Sus scrofa: one gene and its partner. The protein of the gene in region 1 purifies or fractionates together with the protein of each later gene. This does not show direct contact. Links are inferred from orthologs where the notes say so. Each region holds a gene or a part of one and is shown in the gene's direction. Other genes may lie near its edges. The genes, in order: BCAR1 and BCAR3.

Region 1 (3,803 bases):
CTGGCTTCTCCCAGGACCCTCATCCCTCCTGGCTCCAGGCTTCTGGCCTCTGGCCCCTCTGAGCTGCTCTGGAGGAAGGGCTCCCCAGCAGTGCTCGCCAGTCTGCGTGTGCAGTCCTGGACCTGGGGCCTTGCCGCCAGTCCAGGCCTCCCCCGGGCCGCTGTCCCCTCAGTGGTCTTCCGTCCTCTTCCCTAAGCCTCCGTGTGACAGGCAGGGGAGGTGGAGCTCAGAGGGCCCGATGCTGGTGTGGAGGTGGGCCCTCCTGGGCTTGGATGAGGCCTCGCCCTCTGTCCTCTGTGCCCCACACGGAATCCAGGAGCTGAGACGCGGGCCCAGGTCCCATTTCTGAGTCAGGTCTAGACCAGGCTCTGCATCCTCAGTCCCCAGGAGACTCAGAGGAGGGTGACCAGAGCTGAGGCCTGGCTGGAGGGGCTGGAGCCCAGCTGTCCTGGCACTGTCCTTCCCCCATGTGTGAGGCCTGGGCTCCTGCCCAGTCCTGCTGAGTTCTCTGCTGCCCTCGGAGACCAAAGCTGCCCTGGCCTTCTCTCCCAGATGCCTGCTTCGCTCCTGCCCTCTGCTGGAACGACCTCGGCGGGGGCCTCTCGGGGAATCTCTGGGCCCAGCCTGAGCCCTGCACCTGTGTAAGCAGCAGGGGTGGTGGACTGAAAACACAGGGCCTCCCCGTCCTGGTTCCCTGTGGCCGGTGTGGTTCTGGGCCTGCCGGCTGGGAGTCTACCAGTGCTGGTTCCTCCTCTCTGACCCCACAGCCTCCCCCGAGGCCTGCACAGGCCGCTTGGCTACAGGGCCTCTCTCCATGGAGCGTGTGTCCCGGTTCCAGGAGGGTTTATTGACAACGGAGCCCATTAGCGGTGCCCCATAGCAGTTTTCTGGGGTGGCAGTGAGAACTACCAGGACAGTTACAGGAGTAAAGAGTGGAGCTGGGGCAAGGGGTGCTGTCCTTCTGTGGCCATCCTCGGTCCGTATGGAACCGCCGTCTCGTTTTGCTGTATTTCCCTATGTATTCCCTTTTTTTTTTTTTTATCTTTTGTCCTTTTAGGGCTGCACCCGCGGCATATGGAGGTTCCCAGGCTAGGGGTCTAATTGGACCTGTTAGCTATGCCACAGCCACAGCCACGCCAGATCCGAGCCGCGTCTGCAACCTACACCACAGCTCCCAGCAACGCCAGATCCTTAACCCACTGAGCGGGGGCCAGGGATCCAACCCGCCACCTGATGGTTCCTAGTTGGATTCCTTCCCACTGTGCCACGACGGGAACTCCCCTTCCCTTTGTATGCCTGTCTCATTCCTGTCCCTCTTCCAGGAGCACCCATGCAGTGTCATGTGTCTGGAGTCCACCCTTGGACAAGTGTCTGTGAAATATACAGAGTGTTCTGGAGATACTCATAACATACATGCAGAGTGTTTTGGGCCGTGGGTCTCCTGTTTGTGGCTGGAGCACCTCCAGATTCTAGGGGAAGCACTCTTGTCATTTGGCGGCCTGTCACCCCATCGGCTCTCTGTTCTTCCCCATCCGGCTGGAGCCGTTCCCTTTGATGAGGTCGACCCTGTCTGTCTGTTTCTGTTGTTGTTACCTTACGTTCTGTGCTTTTGTGCTCTGATTTGGGGTTATTATCTTTTTTCCCCCTCATGGTCACAGATATATTCTCCCACAAATTTTTTTTTCTTTTTTTTTCTTTTTTCTTTTTTTTTGGCCATGCCCACAGCATGTGGAAGTTCCCTGAGCCAGGGATGGAACCTGTGCCATATCAGCAACACAAGCCACTGCGGTGACAAGGCCAGATCCCTAACTTGCTGCACCACAAGAGAACTCCAGCAATTTTTTCTTTTATCAGCTCTAAAGTTGTACCTTTCACATTTAGGTCTTTAATTGCCCTTTGTTTATAACATGAGCGATGTCCAGATTGACTTTTCTTCCTGTGGCAAACAAGTTTTCCTGGTACCCGCTGGGCTGCAGTCCTGCCCTCCGCGTTGCTGCGTGGTTCCTGCAGGGCAGGGCCCTTGCTGGAGCCAGTCCCACCGCTGGTCCCTGTCCTGCTCCCGGGTTGGAGTTGTGGCCAGGCCTCACGATGGCAAGGAAGTGCCTCTTTGCATTTCATTTTCACAATTGACCTTATTTGCGGACTTCTGTTCCTCTGCTTAATTGTAGAAAGGATGCTTTATCTTTGGTCGAATTCTTAAAAAAAAAAAAAAATTCTGCTGGCATTTTTATTGCAGTTGTAACTTACTAAGTAAGCTTGGGCCAACTGGTACATTTTCTCCTCTGGGCTCTGGTGCAGTCTTTGCTTGATTAATTCTTGGATAACTTGTAGCTTTTGTTATCAAGTGACGTCTTTCCTGTGAGGTTCCTTTCTCAGCACTGCCAAGTCTTCTAGATTGTTGGGATCTTCACTAGATGACATGTGGTCTGCAGATGGTGGCCGCTGTGCCCCGTGTGTCCCTTCCCACTCTCTGGGCTTTTCCTCTCGGATGGTCCCACTGGCGAGGCAGCAGGGCCGTGGTGTCGGTGCAGGGAGGGTGTGCATCCTGTTTTCTTCCCAGAAGGAGGTGGCCGTTACTGTCATTATCGCTCTTCTCCCCAGCATCGGTCTAGCTTGTACTGTGCCTCTGGGAGTGTTGTTTAGAGTATTTTGAGGGCCGTTCTGGAGCGGTGCCGGTGGCTGCCGTTGCGAGGATTTTGAGGCACTATCCAGATCCATTTGAAAACATGCCTGGACCAGTTGGGCTTTCTGCCAGGGGCACTGGGGGCAGAGGCATGGGGATCTCACCAAAACCTACTCAGTTCCTTTCTCGGTGCCAAGGCAGGTACCTCTCCAGTCCTGCGGGGCTCCCAGCACAGTCCTCCTGCCCTCACGAGCCCTGCCTGTGTCCCCTCCCTGCAGAACGTGCTGGCCAAAGCCCTCTACGACAATGTGGCTGAGTCCCCGGATGAGCTCTCCTTCCGCAAAGGCGACATCATGACAGTGCTGGAGCGAGACACGCAGGGCCTGGACGGCTGGTGGCTCTGCTCACTGCATGGGCGCCAAGGCATCGTGCCCGGGAACCGCCTCAAGATTCTGGTGGGCATGCATGACAAGAAGCCCGTGGGGCCAGGCCCTGGCCCGCCTGCCAGCTCGGCCCCGCCCCAGCCCAGCCTCCACGCCCCGGCCGCCCAGTACACGCCCATGCTGCCTGCCGCCTACCAGCCCCAGCCCGACAGCGTCTACCTGGTGCCCACCCCCAGCAAGACTCAGCAAGGCCTCTACCAAGCTCCCGGGCCCAGCTCGCAGTTCCAGTCCCCGCCGGCCAAGCAGACATCCACGTTCTCAAAGCAGATGCCCCATCACCCATTTCCCAGCCCGGCCCCAGACCTTTACCAGGTGCCCCCGGGACCTGGCAACCCTGCCCAGGACATCTACCAGGTGCCGCCTTCCGCTGGGATGGGGCATGACATCTACCAGGTCCCCCCATCCATGGACGCACGCAGCTGGGAAGGGACGAAGGCGCCAGCCAAGGTAAGTCCTCCCTGGCATGGCCAGGCAGCCTTCCTGGCCAGTTTCATCCAGGCCCAGTCCCTGGGTGCAGCAGAGCAGAGCCAGGCACCTTTGGGCTCTCCGGGGCTCCGGCAGCGGCTGTGTGTTTGGTCTGGGGCTGGGGTGGGAGGTGAGTGTCTGGGGAACATGTGCATTTGTCTGCTGACGTGGGTGCCCACCCCACCCCCGCCCCGCCAGGGAGGCCTCCTCTTCCCCCTCTGTCTCCTCCCTTCCGGGTCTCTGTAGTCAGGCTTGTCCTGCTGCATCTCTGA
Region 2 (3,803 bases), on another chromosome or scaffold:
AGGGGGGGGACTAGGTCAGAACAGATGAGATTCCCAAGGCAGCAGGTGCTGAACACCTGGGGGCTGCTGTCTGAACCCCACCGCCCACCCTCAGGGCCGTGTTCCTGCAGGACCCGACTCTCATGGAGCTCGAGTCCGCATGCATGTCAGCCCACGGCCCGAAAGGCGCACGCAAGAGGCAGGCGTGGTAGAGCCAAGACCAGCCCCAGCCCCAGCCCCCGGGGGCAGGGCCCCTCCTCCAGCTGCCGGCACCTGAGCTTATTATGCAACGTATTTTATTCCACTCACTGGTCCTCTTTCTGAAGCAGGAGGAAATGTCATAAACTATCATTTCTCAACTGTAAAAATTCAGAACAAAACACAGGACTCTGTGAGCAATGTCATGATGGTCCTGTGTCACTAGGAAGCTCTGGTGGCTGTTAGTCAGCATCCGGCTGTGGACCTGCCGCCCGGCCTTGGAGGCAGGTCCACCACTGGCCTGGCCAACCCTGGACCAGCTACTTACCTTCTCTGGGCCTCAGTTTTGCAAAAATTGGGTGCTTGAAGGGTAAATGGTTTAAGGTGTGCAAAATGCTTAGAACAGTGTGGGCACACAGGAAGTGCTGGGTGAGTGTTCGTAATCCTAATAATAGTTATTATTAATAACTTTTTTTTTTTTTTTTTTTTTTTTTTTTGCTTTTTGGGGCCACACCTGAGGCATATGGAAGTTCCTAGGCTAGGGGTCGAATAGGAGCTGTCACTGCCAACCTGCCCCACAGCCACAGCAATGCTAGATCTGAGCCATGTCTGCGACCTACACCACAGCACACGGCAATGCCAGAGCCTCATCCCACTGAGCGAGGCCAGGGATCAAACCCAATCCTCTCGGACACTAGTCGGCTTCGTCTCTGCTGAGCCGCATGGGAACGCCCGGTTCTAGAAGGCAATAGAATACAGGATTCGGGGCACTTGCAGGGAGGGAGGCAAGAATGATATGTAAAGAGTCTCCCTTTCATAGTGAGAAGGTTAGAGTGAGATCCCTGAAAGTATTAAGGGGACCTCTCTTCTGTTGCTTTTGGGAGGGGGGTTGGCTGCTGAACCAGTGAGCCGGGAGATAAGGTGGAGCACAGAGCCCCACCTCCCCACCCCAGGAACAGTGCTGGGAAGGAAGGCCTCCTGGTCCACCCACCCTCAGTGACCCAGACTTAAAATACAACTTTTTTAAGGATAAGACATGGAAAGAAAGGAGTTCCCGTCGTGGCTCAGCGGTTAATGAACCCGACTAGGGACCATGAGGTTGCGGGCTCGATCCTTGGCCTCGCTCAGTGGGTTAAGGATCCACTGTTGCCGTGGACTGTGGGCTAGGTTGCAGACGCAGCTCGGATCCTGTGTTGCTGTGGCTGTGGTGTAGGCCGGCAGCTGCAGCTCCGATTCGACCCCTGGCATGGAAACCTCCCTATGCCGTGGGTGTGGCCCTAAAAAGACAAAAAAAAAAAAAAAAAAAAAAAAGAAAGAAATGGAAAGAAAGTCAGAGCTCTCTAAGTCACAAGACAAGCCTAAGAGAGCCACCCTCAGATTGTCCTTTGCAAGCAGAGCTCCCTAAACCTTGTCACCTCTTGGCAGAGGCTTCAAGTGGACCTAAAAGAGGGGGTGAGGTGGGCTCCACGGGGACGGGCACCTGACCCGGAGCCCTGCCCTCCGCCCGCCCGCCTGCACCTTCCCTGACGTCAGGCCTGCTGCTGGCCCGCCCGGCGGCGGTGCGCTCGGCCAGGCTGCATTCCAGGCCAATGAGCTGGGCAGCGGCGTCTGACCACGGGCGCTGGTCCCTGCGGAAGCCCCACTTCGCAGAAGCCACTGCCGTTTGGAATTTGCCCTCTGCCCCGCCTTATCTCTGAGTGTCGCTGGAATTTCTCTGCTGCTGGGCGTTCGGGGGTTTGGGTTTGGGTTTTTGCCTTTGGCGCTTGCAAAGGTAGGAAAGAACGTCGGGATTTCTGTAACAGGAGCTTGTGGGAGGGCCAATGACCGGTCTCGACCCCTCGGCGGGCGCCGTGCTTTCTCTTTTACCAAAAGGGAGCTTCTGTTGTTTGGTGCTAATGAGAGAAATTCCCAGTGGGAGTCGGCAGGTGCCAGAGCAGTGCAGGCAGGTTGTGTCATCACCGTCTGTCTCTCCCGGGCACTGTGCCTCCTGGATGCCGCCTGGTGACCCCCCCGTCCCTTTTCCTGACTCAGCAGGAGGAGGCTGGCTCTGGGGTCCCCAGCAGGGTCCCCCTGGATGGGTATGACACCCCGCCCCCCGTCCCCAGGCGATGCTGGGAATTAATTGGGAGAGGCGGAGATTTGTGCTGAAATGCAAACTGTCCCACAGCGTCCTCCTGAATTGTGACACTGTGAGGTCCGGTTCAAAACGCTGTTAGGTACCCCAGTCGGCCCTCCCGGGTCTGCGAGTAATTTTAGGCGTTGTTAAAAGTGCACATTCCGGTTCATCAGAGTCTCCTGCGTGTATCATGAAGCTTTTACCCCCGCTCTGCTCGGTGGGACAGGAGGACTCAGAGGAGGGAGCCGAGGACCGAACTGGGTGGCCGTGGGGACCTGGGGAGGGAGCCCCCAGCCCGATGGTCCCATCAGTGATTTCCTCCCCGGCAGCCATCCCGGTCCTCTCAGGGCAGCCCGAGCGCTCTCGTTCTGAGTAACCTTTTTTCTTTTTTTCAAACTTTCCGTGACGTTGCCTAAAGGCTTTATGGTTTAATGACATGTTCCTGCCCCACTTGTCTTTTGCTTCAGAAATAAGGAGAAGAGCGGGAGCCAGCCTGCCTGCCTGGATCACATGCAGGACCGCAGAGCCTTGGCCCTCAAAGCCCACCAGTCGGAAAGTTACCTGCCGATTGGTAGGTGTCGGGGGGTGCGGGGGAGGAGGGCGGCGGTGTCCCCGGTGGCCTTCAGGCCGTCCCCTGCCCCATCTGGCCGGCTGATGTGGAGTGACAGAGCCTCCGCACCTGCAGGCTGTAGGGTGAGGGGTTTGTAGAACTATATCCAGATGCGCGCATGTAACGTGCTAGCTTTTAAGCCACATGACGCGCCCTAAGGTGGCGTGATCGTCCCTGTGGCTGAGGAAACTGAGGCAGGGATAGTAAGGGGCTTGTCTCGAGTCGTCTTTCTTGTAAGCCGGGACCGGAACTCGGGTTTCCTGACTCTGAGCCCGGTTGCTCCCCGGGGCTGCTCGTGACAGGCCAGCCTCCCTTCGTCCCCTCCCCAGGCAGAGGGCAGCTGGCCGGGTCCCAGGGCTCCTGGTGGAGCAGCTTTCCAGACAGGCCCTCGTCCCCTCTGTTCTCCTGTCACATGAGACGGTCGGGATGTGGGGACACGGAGGAGGTAGGGGCCGGTTAATAGGCCGCCGGGTCGGTCCTTGTAGTTTTGGTAGCCGGCCTTCCTTGCGAGCCGAGATCTTCCTGCTGCCCTTCGTAAACCACCTGAGTGTGCCTCTTCTCGGGGTCTTCGCCTCCTTCCCCAGTGTCGCCAGCTCAGGATCCCCCCTGGCTCTGAGGGTGACTCAGCCCCCTCCCCCATGCTGTGTGGTTAAAGAGGCTGCTTCCTGGGCCAGGTTAGGTTACTCACTGCCCTCCAAGCTCATCTATTTCCCTGTTCTGACGGTACGAACCTTCTGAGACCATAAAGTGACATTGCAGCCCAGCTGTCAGTCGTCACTGGGGCTGAGATCTCCCCCAGAGGTCGGGCGGGGCCCCGAGCCTTTGACCTGCTCCAGACCGGCCTGCAGCCGTCCTGCTCACTTCTCTCTTGAGGGTGGACGTTGAAACCCCAGGGCCCAA

What was found.
Region 2: the proteins of BCAR1 (region 1) and BCAR3 purify together in Homo sapiens (co-immunoprecipitation; 4 studies listed by BioGRID and IntAct, counting the BioPlex papers as one, with this or other methods). This does not show direct contact. The link is inferred for Sus scrofa from reciprocal best matches to the Homo sapiens genes BCAR1 and BCAR3.

What each region holds. Positions count from the first base shown.
Region 1 is NC_010448.4:12,389,741-12,393,543, forward strand, and holds part of BCAR1 (breast cancer anti-estrogen resistance protein 1), read left to right. Parts: intron 1-2,901; coding exon 2,902-3,513; intron 3,514-3,803. UniProt on the Homo sapiens protein: Docking protein which plays a central coordinating role for tyrosine kinase-based signaling related to cell adhesion. Implicated in induction of cell migration and cell branching. Involved in the BCAR3-mediated inhibition of TGFB signaling.
Region 2 is NC_010446.5:123,642,980-123,646,782, forward strand, and holds part of BCAR3 (breast cancer anti-estrogen resistance protein 3), read left to right. Parts: intron 1-1,458; exon of another isoform or gene 1,459-1,948; intron 1,949-2,760; coding exon 2,761-2,864; intron 2,865-3,803. UniProt on the Homo sapiens protein: Acts as an adapter protein downstream of several growth factor receptors to promote cell proliferation, migration, and redistribution of actin fibers.